Saccharomyces cerevisiae S288C: one gene and its partners. The protein of the gene in region 4 purifies or fractionates together with the protein of the main gene of each other region. This does not show direct contact. Each region holds a gene or a part of one and is shown on either strand. Other genes may lie near its edges. The genes, in order: FBA1, GPM1, TDH2 and TPI1.

Region 1 (3,575 bases), on a different chromosome or scaffold from region 4:
ATTGGTGAATTCTTTGCAGGAAAGTTTTGACCTGGATTGCGCGCAAAGTGTATCACTTTTCACCAGTAAATCAAGGAGCAATGAGGCTTGGTTGGAAGAGCTAGAGAATAAATTCAAGTTAAAAGATGATGTTGAACTTGATGATGTGGAAAATTTAAGAGCCGAAATTGACATGAAGTTAAATATGTTGGAGGATAAAGTAAGCTACTATGAAAGACTTTACAAAGAACTCGAAGAGTTCCAGAATGAAATAAAAATTAAAACAGTTGTGAATAACAGAAGACAATCGCGAACTCCAAAATGAGCTATCAAAAACGATAGATCGATTAGGATGACTTTGAAATGACTCCGCAGTGGACTGGCCGTTAATTTCAAGCGTGAGTAAAATAGTGCATGACAAAAGATGAGCTAGGCTTTTGTAAAAATATCTTACGTTGTAAAATTTTAGAAATCATTATTTCCTTCATATCATTTTGTCATTGACCTTCAGAAGAAAAGAGCCGACCAATAATATAAATAAATAAATAAAAATAATATTCCATTATTTCTAAACAGATTCAATACTCATTAAAAAACTATATCAATTAATTTGAATTAACTTATAAAGTGTTAGTGGTACGGAAAGTTTCCAAAGACTTGGTGATCTTAGCACCCATGGTCTTTTCACCTTCTCTAACCCAGACTCTTGGGTCGAAGAACTTCTTGTTTGGCTTTTCTGGACCTTCTGGGTTACCGACTGGGGACATTATGTAGTCCTTCTTGTTCAAGACGTAGTCTCTGATACCAGTCAAGTAAGCGTATTGACAGTCAGTGTCCAAGTTGACCTTGACAACACCGTTGTCAATACCAGTGTGGAATTCTTGGACAGTAGAACCGGAACCACCGTGGAAGACCAAGAACAATGGCTTTTCTTCCTTGCAACCAACTTGTTCTCTGGTGTACTTTTGGTGTTCAGCCAAGATTTCTGGTCTCAAAGCGATGTCACCAGCGTACAAACCGTGACAGTTACCGAAAGCAGCAGCAATGGAGAAGTTTGGAGAGATTGGGTGCAAAGCCTTGTAGACGTTGTAAACTTGTTCTGGCTTGGTGTACAAGTCTTCCTTGTCAGCGTTTTCGTTGTTAACACCATCTTCTTCACCACCGGTAATACCGATTTCCATTTCTAACCATTGGTCCATAGCGGCCATTCTCTTGAAGTACTTGACACAAGTAGAGATGTTTTCTTCATCGGTTTCTTCAGACAAATCCAACATGTGGGAGGAGAATAATGGTTCACCGTGTTCCTTGAAGTAAGCTTCATCAGCTTCCAACATACCATCGAACCATGGCAACAACTTCTTGGCACAGTGGTCAGAGTGTAAGACAACTGGGATACCGTAAGCTGGAGCAATGGATCTGATGTAGTGGGCAGCGGCAATAGCACCCTTGATGGAAGCATTTTGACCTTCGTTAGAGATACCCTTACCAGCGAAGTAAGCAGCACCACCGTTAGAGGTTTGCAAAATGATTGGGGACTTGCTGTCTCTAGCAGCTTCTAAAGCAGCGACGGCAGTAGAAGAAGAGGTGACGTTAATAGCTGGAATAGCGAACTTGTGTTCCTTAGCGTAAGTGAATAAGTTGTGGACATCTTCACCAACGATGACACCGGTCTTTCTCTTTAAGATTTGTTCAACACCCATTTTGAATATGTATTACTTGGTTATGGTTATATATGACAAAAGAAAAAGAAGAACAGAAGAATAACGCAAGGAAGAACAATAACTGAAATTGATAGAGAAGTATTATGTCTTTGTCTTTTTATAATAAATCAAGTGCAGAAATCCGTTAGACAACATGAGGGATAAAATTTAACGTGGGCGAAGAAGAAGGAAAAAAGTTTTTGTGAGGGCGTAATTGAAGCGATCTGTTGATTGTAGATTTTTTTTTTTTGAGGAGTCAAAGTCAGAAGAGAACAGACAAATGGTATTAACCATCCAATACTTTTTTGGAGCAACGCTAAGCTCATGCTTTTCCATTGGTTACGTGCTCAGTTGTTAGATATGGAAAGAGAGGATGCTCACGGCAGCGTGACTCCAATTGAGCCCGAAAGAGAGGATGCCACGTTTTCCCGACGGCTGCTAGAATGGAAAAAGGAAAAATAGAAGAATCCCATTCCTATCATTATTTACGTAATGACCCACACATTTTTGAGATTTTCAACTATTACGTATTACGATAATCCTGCTGTCATTATCATTATTATCTATATCGACGTATGCAACGTATGTGAAGCCAAGTAGGCAATTATTTAGTACTGTCAGTATTGTTATTCATTTCTTAGGGCTTGCGTCAGCTTGATGAGGATTTGTGATAGTAGCCGTTGGAGGCATGAAGGGCATTGGAAACATGGGGAAAGGAGGTATACCGAAAGGTAACGGTACTGGTGGCACTGGCGTACCGCCGTTATTTACAGAAGTTGGAAGGCTGGTATTGTTGTTCAAGCCAGCGGTGCCAGTTGGATCCATCAACTTCATTTTCTTAGTTTCTGGCTGGTTGCCATCTTTAGAGCTTCCGTGTAGTTCCTCTTGTTTCTTCAAAAACGTTTCGACCTCCTTTTCCTTGTCCTGGTCGGGTACTAAAGAATCGAGAAGGATATCGCGGGTTTCGCAATTGGGGCATACAAAGTCGCTCTCTACCAGTGCATTTTCCAGCGCCTCTTTTGAGAAATCTATGTTACAGCACTTGCTTGTCTTTACCGGCTGCCTCAAAAGACCACCTGTCAAGGGACATTTTAAATCGTCAGGAAGATCTTTGAAATGGCCTTTTCTCCAAATGGTTTCATCACCATCAATTTGACGGTTCTCTCTTTTCCTTTGGTAGTCTTCCCATGATTGTTTGTCTTCAACTTGTACCACGAACTTGCCTTCGTCCGTAATCATAATCTTTCGCTGAGCCATCTCTTCCGGTGTCATTGTCTCGGGATCTATTTCAATGGATTTTAAAAACTTCTTTGGAATACCTGTGGTTCTTCTGATTCTTTTTCCTTCAAAATTTGGATCGCTGTTAGTTGGACAATTTTTAATCCAGTGGTCTCTACCCCCACAACGATAGCACATATAACCTGGTGGCGGTGGGCCTTCGTTTTCTTGTGCAGAATTCTTATTCGTCTGTGACTTGAAAAAAACAGGTGTGGCTGCAGACATTTCTTCTTGCGTTTGTTCCCATTGATTTTCTTGTGTGGCAAACATACTAGCAATTCTTTCTTCTTCCGTTGTACCACTAACATTAGCAGTGGTTGTAGCAGTGTGTTGTCTCTTTTGCAACACTCTTGGCCTACCAGTAACATACCTTGTTGCGTTCCCAAGAGCTGCTGCTCCCACATTCCCTTTAAGTCGACTGTGTACGGAGAATGATTTAATTGCTGGAGATCTTTTTACTATGACACTAGTAGATCTAGGTATAACAAAGGCATCATCGTCGTATTCCTCTTCTGTATCTGGGTTGTAAATTTTTAATTGGAAATCTGTGCCGTCACCTAGTTTGTTCTCTTGAATAATTTCCCTTTTCAAATCAAATACTGTCAGGCCGGTACCATC
Region 2 (3,329 bases), on a different chromosome or scaffold from region 4:
TCGATTCCTTTTTGGGGATGCCTATATCCTCGAGGAGACACTTCCAGTATATTCTGTATACATAATATAACAGCCTTTATCAACATTGGAATCCCAACAATTATCTCAAAATTCACCAACCTCTCATGGCGCATATTCATCATGCATGTAACTACCACATCAATGTTCAATCATGGACTTTTAACTAATCTTAAGTACTATTCGAACTGCCCATTCAGCTTTTCCCTTTGCAATTGGTGCACTCCTACTTGAACGAATTCGCGGGGTGTACATTAAACTACGATGTAAACATCAAGGTTATTGCTATAACATGTCATGTCACCATTAATTACCACTCATTCCAACATACTGTCCCTGACGAAAACTGTTTATGCGAGCGCAAAATGAACCTATTCAATTAATAATACTCCTCAAATTGCTACCACGACAGGCTGAAAAAAGATGTCGACGAATAATGTAATCGTGTCAAACAAACGTTATCTTGACTATATATAGCTACTTAATTTGAAATAATAAACTATACAAGTCTATATCATTGATATATTCAGTAAGAAAAATGGAGGGAAAAAGAAATCATCAAATCATTCATTCTTCAGACTTATTTCTTACCTTGGTTGGCAACAGCAGCGGCACCAGCAGCGGCAGCTTCTGGGTCCAAGTAGTAAGATGGCTTAGATGGCTTCAAGTTTTCGTCCAATTCGAAGACCAATGGAATACCAGTTGGGATGTTCAACTTAGCAATGTCAGCATCAGAGATACCTTCCAAGTGCTTAACCAAACCTCTCAAGGAGTTACCGTGAGCGGCGATCATGACGGTCTTACCACTCAACAAGTCCTTGGCAATGACATCTTGCCAGTATGGCAACAATCTGTCAATGACCAAAGCCAAAGATTCAGTTTCTGGCAAGACATTTGGGTCAACGTACTTGTATCTTTCATCACCCTTTTGAGAGAATGGAGAAGAAGCGTCGATTGGGGGAGGTGGAACATCGAAGGATCTTCTGTAGGTGTTGAATTTTTCTTCACCGAACTTCTTCAAAGTTTCAGCCTTGTCCTTACCTTGTAAGTCACCGTAATGTCTTTCGTTCAATCTCCAGGATCTGTTGACTGGAATCCATAATCTGTCAGCCTTTTCCAAAGCAATGTTAGCAGTTTGGATAGCTCTGGACAACTTGGAAGTGTACAAGACGTCTGGGTAGACCTTCTTTTCCTTCAACAATTCACCGGCTCTAGCGGCTTCTTGTTGACCCTTGGCAGACAATTTAACATCAACCCAACCGGTGAATAAGTTCTTTTCGTTCCATTCGGATTGACCGTGTCTAACTAAAACTAACTTTGGCATTATTGTAATATGTGTGTTTGTTTGGATTATTAAGAAGAATAATTACAAAAAAAATTACAAAGGAAGGTAATTACAACAGAATTAAGAAAGGACAAGAAGGAGGAAGAGAATCAGTTCATTATTTCTTCTTTGTTATATAACAAACCCAAGTAGCGATTTGGCCATACATTAAAAGTTGAGAACCACCCTCCCTGGCAACAGCCACAACTCGTTACCATTGTTCATCACGATCATGAAACTCGCTGTCAGCTGAAATTTCACCTCAGTGGATCTCTCTTTTTATTCTTCATCGTTCCACTAACCTTTTTCCATCAGCTGGCAGGGAACGGAAAGTGGAATCCCATTTAGCGAGCTTCCTCTTTTCTTCAAGAAAAGACGAAGCTTGTGTGTGGGTGCGCGCGCTAGTATCTTTCCACATTAAGAAATATACCATAAAGGTTACTTAGACATCACTATGGCTATATATATATATATATATATATATATATATATATGTAACTTAGCACCATCGCGCGTGCATCACTGCATGTGTTAACCGAAAAGTTTGGCGAACACTTCACCGACACGGTCATTTAGATCTGTCGTCTGCATTGCACGTCCCTTAGCCTTAAATCCTAGGCGGGAGCATTCTCGTGTAATTGTGCAGCCTGCGTAGCAACTCAACATAGCGTAGTCTACCCAGTTTTTCAAGGGTTTATCGTTAGAAGATTCTCCCTTTTCTTCCTGCTCACAAATCTTAAAGTCATACATTGCACGACTAAATGCAAGCATGCATGATATAGCTCCTGTCAAAGTATCACCTTGGCCTCCTACCCTCTTGTTGCTGCCCTCTTCGCTGTTCGTCAACATGTCTTTTTCACTATCGGGTGAGAATATCTTATCTGACTGACCTTTCTCCACCACAATACAATTCAATTCCTGGGCGATCAAGCTGCCCATCTCGGAGTGAGAGTCTCCCTTCTTGCCTATGGCATCACATAGTCTTTTGAATTCTACCACATTGGGCGTCAAGATCACTCTACCTTTGGGGTAGCTTTTCAGCATTTCTTTGACTTCGCTATCTTGAGTTACTAAGAACAGTCCATCAGCATCAATTACTAACGGGATCTTGCCCTCATGTTTTTCAAGTATATATCTTATGATATCCTTAATGGATTTTAACATTAGGGGGTCCCTACCCAAGCCGGGTCCAATTACCACAACGTGGATTCTATCCAATAAGGAATTGATTTTCTTCCTTTGTTCGTCCATATCAACGTCTAATTTGGTGTTACTCATACGAAGGTATGGATGAACCATTAGGTTTGGGGTGTACGATTTAATGACCGTACCAGCGTTGTATTCGCAGATGACATGTGTCAAATCACAGCCCATCAAGGCTGTAGCATTGGCGCTGAAATACGGTGCCCCTGTATAATCTTCGCATCCTCCAATAATGCAAACTCTCCCACCAGACTGTCCCTTATGAAACTTTGGCAATAAAGGTGGTATACATCTTTTCTGCGCCAACTTTATCAATTCTCTATGAGACAATTCTGCTAACATTTCCAGTGATACGGTAGTGATCGTATTGAACTGGTGTTGCTAATAAAATTTCACCGACGCCTATATACCTATTTACACCTTTACATATATATCTACTAGATCACGTTGCAAGACCCATCACATCGCATCACATCACATCACTCCCTATTCTGCCCTTTACAGCGCAAAGGAGTCGTGTGTGGGTGTGTGCTCCTTTTGACGATCATAAGAGTCCATTTCTAGTATGCAAGCTGGTAACAATAGGTGAATGAATTAGGTTCATTTGCGATGACCTTCAGTATCCCTCCACGCAATGCTAAACTATCCCCCTCATTATGACGCCTATATCGTATAAGGAACTTGTTACCCCTGACAATTCAAACTTCAAAGGTCTAAGACCAAACAAGCGTAGGAACTATCGCTCGGAGTGTTTCTCCGTTTGAAAAAAGAAGAGAAATAAGGG
Region 3 (3,489 bases), on a different chromosome or scaffold from region 4:
TTGAATGATGCCATTCAAGAGGAAACAGAAGTGGAAATGTTAACTGCTAGGAGTAAACTTTCACATCATCAAGTTCCCATTTGGCAATCCATTGAAATAATGGACAGATATGCGATGAAAACGCTAAGTGATACTCCAAATGGTGAAAGGTACGATGCTTGGAAACAATACTTGGAAATCACCGGAAACACCATATGCGGCGAAAAGCCAATTAGTGTGATACTAAGTGCTTTATCGAAAATCCGTGATGCCGGTCCTTCAGGCATCAAATTTCAGTGGCCTAATTATTCACAGAGTTCTCATGTGACAAGTATTGATGATAGTAGTGTCAGTTATGCTTCAGGTTATGTTACTATAGGATAATGATCACGGCTAAAACGGTCGAATGTAAGCATATATCTTTCGATTGTATAATTGTTCCCAAATACTACAGCATCTCAAGGAAAAAAAAACAAAAACTTCCAAAAAAATCGAATCCCTGAGGAATCTTTAATACATTTTCAATCTATTTAAGTTTTATAAACGTGTATATGAGATGTCATGAGCATGAATTATTAATAATAAAAACTAAATCATTAAAGTAACTTAAGGAGTTAAATTTAAGCCTTGGCAACGTGTTCAACCAAGTCGACAACTCTGGTAGAGTAACCGTATTCGTTGTCGTACCAGGAAACCAACTTGACGAACTTTGGAGACAATTGGATACCAGCGGCAGCATCGAAGATGGAAGAGTTAGAGTCACCCAAGAAGTCAGAGGAGACAACAGCGTCTTCAGTGTAACCCAAGACACCCTTCAACTTACCTTCAGCGGCAGCCTTGACAACCTTCTTGATTTCATCGTAGGTGGTTTCCTTGTTCAACTTGACAGTCAAGTCAACAACGGAAACATCGACGGTTGGGACTCTGAAAGCCATACCGGTCAACTTACCTTGCAATTCTGGCAAGACCTTACCGACAGCCTTAGCAGCACCGGTAGAGGATGGGATGATGTTACCGGAAGCGGTTCTACCACCTCTCCAGTCCTTGTGGGATGGACCGTCAACAGTCTTTTGGGTGGCGGTCATGGAGTGAACAGTGGTCATCAAACCTTCTTCAATACCGAAAGCATCGTTGATAACCTTGGCCAATGGAGCCAAACAGTTGGTGGTACAAGAAGCGTTGGAAACAATCTTCAAGTCAGAAGTGTATTTTTCTTCGTTAACACCCATGACGAACATTGGGGCGGTGGAAGATGGAGCAGTGATGACAACCTTCTTGGCACCAGCGTCAATGTGCTTTTGAGCAGTGTCCAATTCCTTGAAAACACCAGTGGAGTCAATGGCGATGTCAATGTTTAGAGAAGCCCATGGCAAGTTAGCTGGGTCTCTTTCTTGGAAAGTGGCGATCTTGTGACCATCAACGATGATGTGCTTGTCATCGTGGGAAACTTCACCAGCGTATCTACCGTGAGTAGAGTCGTACTTGAACATGTAAGCGGAGTAGTCGTTAGAGATGAAAGGATCGTTCAAAGCAACAACTTCGACGTTCTTTCTTTGCAAAGCAATTCTCATAACCAATCTACCGATTCTACCGAAACCGTTAATAGCAACTCTAACCATTTTGTTTTGTTTGTTTGTGTGATGAATTTAATTTGAAACTAAGTTCTTGGTTTTTTTAACATTTAAACAAACAATAATAAAATGAATAGACACACAAGAAAAAAACTATCTTGAATGAGTGCAACCTTTATATATTCTTCCAAACCTACAAAAAAATTGCAGGTCTGCGATCACTGGGTACTATCAAAACACATATTAGCATACGTATGTGTTCGTACGTGCGGTCCGCAAGGTCTTTGTGACAGCCATGACATGATTGGATTGAATAGTTCACTTCAGCTGTCACCACCAGTTTTAGGCCCTAACACATCAGTCGAGTTCCACTAGGCTTTGTTAGCCGTAGCTGCGTTGCAACAACTGCGCAAAACGCGCGACTTCCTGTAAATGCCGCAGATCACGTGGTAAAGAAAAGAAACAACAGGCCGACCCAGTTTCGTTGTTTCTTTTCATTATTTCTGGATGCTCTTCACAACGTATTTCATGACATACTTATTGAATTAGTGGAAGCCCAAAACATCATTACCCTGGAAAACTTAATTGACGTAAATTAACTTCAGTTGTCTTATGTTTTTTGCATCCTTAACTTTAGCCGCGCAGGGATAATCATATATGTCGAAAGAGCAACTAAACAATACTTAAAAACGTGTTTGAACTTTTACGAAAGGGTAACGACAAATAATCATTCACTGGAAAAACCAATAAACCATAAGTAAATGAAAAACTGTTTCAACCGATGTTGGTACTTTCCATGTCTTAAAAGAGTACAATTTATAAATTAATGAAAACACAGAAGTATTTAGATCGGCTCAAATGTTTTTGGACATTAAAAGATCTTGAAACTGAGTAAGATGCTCAGAATACCCGTCAAGATAAGAGTATAATGTAGAGTAATATACCAAGTATTCAGCATATTCTCCTCTTCTTTTGTATAAATCACGGAAGGGATGATTTATAAGAAAAATGAATACTATTACACTTCATTTACCACCCTCTGATCTAGATTTTCCAACGATATGTACGTAGTGGTATAAGGTGAGGGGGTCCACAGATATAACATCGTTTAATTTAGTACTAACAGAGACTTTTGTCACAACTACATATAAGTGTACAAATATAGTACAGATATGACACACTTGTAGCGCCAACGCGCATCCTACGGATTGCTGACAGAAAAAAAGGTCACGTGACCAGAAAAGTCACGTGTAATTTTGTAACTCACCGCATTCTAGCGGTCCCTGTCGTGCACACTGCACTCAACACCATAAACCTTAGCAACCTCCAAAGGAAATCACCGTATAACAAAGCCACAGTTTTACAACTTAGTCTCTTATGAAGTTACTTACCAATGAGAAATAGAGGCTCTTTCTCGAGAAATATGAATATGGATATATATATATATATATATATATATATATATATATATGTAAACTTGGTTCTTTTTTAGCTTGTGATCTCTAGCTTGGGTCTCTCTCTGTCGTAACAGTTGTGATATCGTTTCTTAACAATTGAAAAGGAACTAAGAAAGTATAATAATAACAAGAATAAAGTATAATTAACATGCCTGCTCCTCACGGTGGTATTCTACAAGACTTGATTGCTAGAGATGCGTTAAAGAAGAATGAATTGTTATCTGAAGCGCAATCTTCGGACATTTTAGTATGGAACTTGACTCCTAGACAACTATGTGATATTGAATTGATTCTAAATGGTGGGTTTTCTCCTCTGACTGGGTTTTTGAACGAAAACGATTACTCCTCTGTTGTTACAGATTCGAGATTAGCAGACGGCACATTGTGGACCATCCCTATTACATTAGATGTTGATGAAGCATTTGCTAACCAAATTAAACCAGACACAAGAATTGCCCTTTTCCAAGATGATGAAATTCCTA
Region 4 (3,038 bases):
TTTAATAACAGTAATTGAAAAGCAATATTAAAATATAGAAGCCCAAATTTTATATTTCAAATGAATAAATGTTGTTTTTTTTGGCAATTTTTTGCTCTTCTATATAACAGTTGAAATTTGGATAAGAACATCTTCTCAACGCGAAAATGACGCCTCCAGTGAAAAAACATAAACTTTCAATGCAGTCTTCGGTACACTTATGAGTAACCCATATAGAGATCGTACACATTTTACAAGGATTTAGAGACAAAGTAATATTCTTCGTTGATATAGAGGTGTTCAATTGTTAAATGCTTTTCTTCTTTTTATTAGAAAAAGCGCCTTGCTTTTTGTTGTATCACTTGTAAATCTACCGTCCCTTACAAGAACATTCACGAAATTTAAGTGGCTCAGAATGAAAAAGAAACAATATAAAAAAGCTTTCCGTAGTCATCAATTTATTTTACATAACACTAGATATAAAGAAAAGAAGATAATATTTTTATATAATTATATTAATCTTAGTTTCTAGAGTTGATGATATCAACAAATTCTGGCTTCAAAGAAGCACCACCGACCAAGAAACCATCGACATCAGCCTTGTCCTTGAAGGTAACGGCGTTGCTACCGTTAGCGGAACCACCGTATAAGATTCTCAATTCGCTGGCAGCCTTGTCACCCAACTTGGAAGCCAAGAACTTTCTGATGGAAGCGTGAATATCTTGAGCATCTTCTGGAGTAGCAGCCAAACCGGTACCAATGGCCCAGACTGGTTCGTAAGCGACAACGACGTTAGTCCAGTCCTTAACTTCTTCCAAGACAGCGTTCAATTGTCTTTCAACAACATCCAAAGTCTTACCGGCCTTCTTTTCTTCCAAAGTTTCACCGATACACAAGATGACACCGACACCTTGACCTAAAGCGAACTTGGTCTTGTCAGCAATGAACTTGTCATCTTCGTGGAAGTAAGATCTTCTTTCGGAGTGACCCAAAATAACCCACTTAGCACCAACATCCTTGATTTGGTCAACGGAGTTTTCACCGGTGAAAGCACCAGAAGCCTTCAAGTAGGCGTTTTGAGCACCGACAGTGACTTGTGGCTTCTTAACCAAAGAGACAGAGTAGTCTAAGTAGGTAGCTGGAGGACAGATAACAACTTCGACATTTTCTGGGATAGAAGCAGTGTTCAATCTTTCAACAATTTCCTTAATGGATTGTTTGGAACCGTTTAATTTAAAGTTACCACCGACAAAGAAAGTTCTAGCCATTTTTAGTTTATGTATGTGTTTTTTGTAGTTATAGATTTAAGCAAGAAAAGAATACAAACAAAAAATTGAAAAAGATTGATTTAGAATTAAAAAGAAAAATATTTACGTAAGAAGGGAAAATAGTAAATGTTGCAAGTTCACTAAACTCCTAAATTATGCTGCCCTTTATATTCCCTGTTACAGCAGCCGAGCCAAAGGTATATAGGCTCCTTTGCATTAGCATGCGTAACAAACCACCTGTCAGTTTCAACCGAGGTGGTATCCGAGAGAATTGTGTGATTGCTTTAATTAATTTCGGAGAATCTCACATGCCACTGAAGATTAAAAACTGGATGCCAGAAAAGGGGTGTCCAGGTGTAACATCAATAGAGGAAGCTGAAAAGTCTTAGAACGGGTAATCTTCCACCAACCTGATGGGTTCCTAGATATAATCTCGAAGGGAATAAGTAGGGTGATACCGCAGAAGTGTCTGAATGTATTAAGGTCCTCACAGTTTAAATCCCGCTCACACTAACGTAGGATTATTATAACTCAAAAAAATGGCATTATTCTAAGTAAGTTAAATATCCGTAATCTTTAAACACTATGTAGTTAGGTCTCCCTCACAATCAGTCCATTTGGGTAGCACGGTCCTCAGGACGTATCTATTGATGGATTCGTCCAGTTCCATCACCATTACGCTCCCGTTAGGAACATTGGTAAACGATTCAAACTCTTCGTATGTCCATCTAAACCATTTCATCAGGAATACTCTGGAATAAATACCATGTGTAACTAGGACAACAACATCTCTGGGTCTTCTCTCTTGCCTATCATGGAAGTGCCTGAATAAAGTCTCTTGGAAACTGGCGACTCTGTCATATACATCTGCCGCACTTTCTCCATGAGGGAATCTGAAGAAGAAATGACCATACGTAGATCTCTTCTTCATAACGTCCTGCATGCTATTGATTTTTTGGAAATTACCAAAATCTTGTTCCCTTATTCTTGGCTCATCCTTAACCCGATATTGCAGATAACATTTTCCAGGCTTCCCTTCACAAATATTATCTTCATTATTTTCGTAAACACCACCAGTATTATTAAGTCCTCTCGGCCAAAATGCATGTTTCTGTTTACCATGTGGATCATATCTCATATCTTCACATATACGAACACCACTGTTTAATTCATTATATTCATCGATGACGTCCAAAATACCTTTCAATGTTTCCCTTGCTCTTCTATAGGGTGATGTATAAAAAACTATGTTTGTGTCTTTTTCTCTACTCAGCCTGGTATAGTCCTTCAGCGGTAAAGTTCTCCTGCTACTTTCATCTTTAATATACTTCTTAGCCAAATCCTCCACCAAGTTGTGATCGTCTACGTTTAAAACACGTAATAAGTCAATACCAGCTTGTCTAGCTTGGATTTGACCTGTTTTCGTTAAAGAAATCAGATGGTTAGGAATATAACCATTGACCTCCTTGTTTTTATTTGATTCGCTTTCCCCATGCCTTATTAGTACAATTAACCTAGGTCTGGCATTCGTAAAAGAACCGTGACTGCCAGCAACATCTTCACTAACATGAACATTCTCTTCACACATTTCTTTTACTAATACTCTGAGTTATTCAAATGGAATGCTGTAGCGTAAGTTCTTTTATGTTGAACCATGAATACGAGCTGCAATTAATGCAGTTGAGAACTAGCTTTTTTTTTTTCATGCCTCTCGGTCTCTGCAGGATATCGGGTAAAAATGAAAACTGGGACATTAACCGCGGTGGGTACTCGATCATTATTTGTTCAGAA

Evidence for each region.
Region 1: the proteins of TPI1 (region 4) and FBA1 purify together in Saccharomyces cerevisiae (affinity purification with mass spectrometry; 2 studies listed by BioGRID, with this or other methods). This does not show direct contact.
Region 2: the proteins of TPI1 (region 4) and GPM1 purify together in Saccharomyces cerevisiae (affinity purification with mass spectrometry; 2 studies listed by BioGRID, with this or other methods). This does not show direct contact.
Region 3: the proteins of TPI1 (region 4) and TDH2 purify together in Saccharomyces cerevisiae (affinity purification with mass spectrometry; 2 studies listed by BioGRID, with this or other methods). This does not show direct contact.

The regions. Positions count from the first base shown.
Region 1 is NC_001143.9:325,809-329,383, forward strand, and holds FBA1 (fructose-bisphosphate aldolase FBA1), read right to left. Parts: upstream 1,680-3,575; coding exon 600-1,679; downstream 1-599. Other genes in the region: BLI1 (Bli1p), read left to right, coding at 1-304; cleavage polyadenylation factor subunit MPE1, read right to left, coding at 2,310-3,575. UniProt on the Saccharomyces cerevisiae protein: Catalyzes the aldol condensation of dihydroxyacetone phosphate (DHAP or glycerone-phosphate) with glyceraldehyde 3-phosphate (G3P) to form fructose 1,6-bisphosphate (FBP) in gluconeogenesis and the reverse reaction in glycolysis.
Region 2 is NC_001143.9:163,044-166,372, forward strand, and holds GPM1 (phosphoglycerate mutase GPM1), read right to left. Parts: upstream 1,343-3,329; coding exon 599-1,342; downstream 1-598. Other genes in the region: NNR2 (NADHX dehydratase), read right to left, coding at 1,874-2,887. UniProt on the Saccharomyces cerevisiae protein: Interconversion of 3- and 2-phosphoglycerate with 2,3-bisphosphoglycerate as the primer of the reaction. Can also catalyze the reaction of EC 5.4.2.4 (synthase), but with a reduced activity.
Region 3 is NC_001142.9:453,084-456,572, forward strand, and holds TDH2 (glyceraldehyde-3-phosphate dehydrogenase (phosphorylating) TDH2), read right to left. Parts: upstream 1,599-3,489; coding exon 600-1,598; downstream 1-599. Other genes in the region: MHO1 (Mho1p), read left to right, coding at 1-363; MET3 (sulfate adenylyltransferase), read left to right, coding at 3,156-3,489. UniProt on the Saccharomyces cerevisiae protein: Glyceraldehyde-3-phosphate dehydrogenase (GAPDH) involved in glycolysis and gluconeogenesis. Catalyzes the reaction of glyceraldehyde-3-phosphate to 1,3 bis-phosphoglycerate.
Region 4 is NC_001136.10:555,226-558,263, forward strand, and holds TPI1 (triose-phosphate isomerase TPI1), read right to left. Parts: upstream 1,248-3,038; coding exon 501-1,247; downstream 1-500. Other genes in the region: acid phosphatase DET1, read right to left, coding at 1,831-2,835.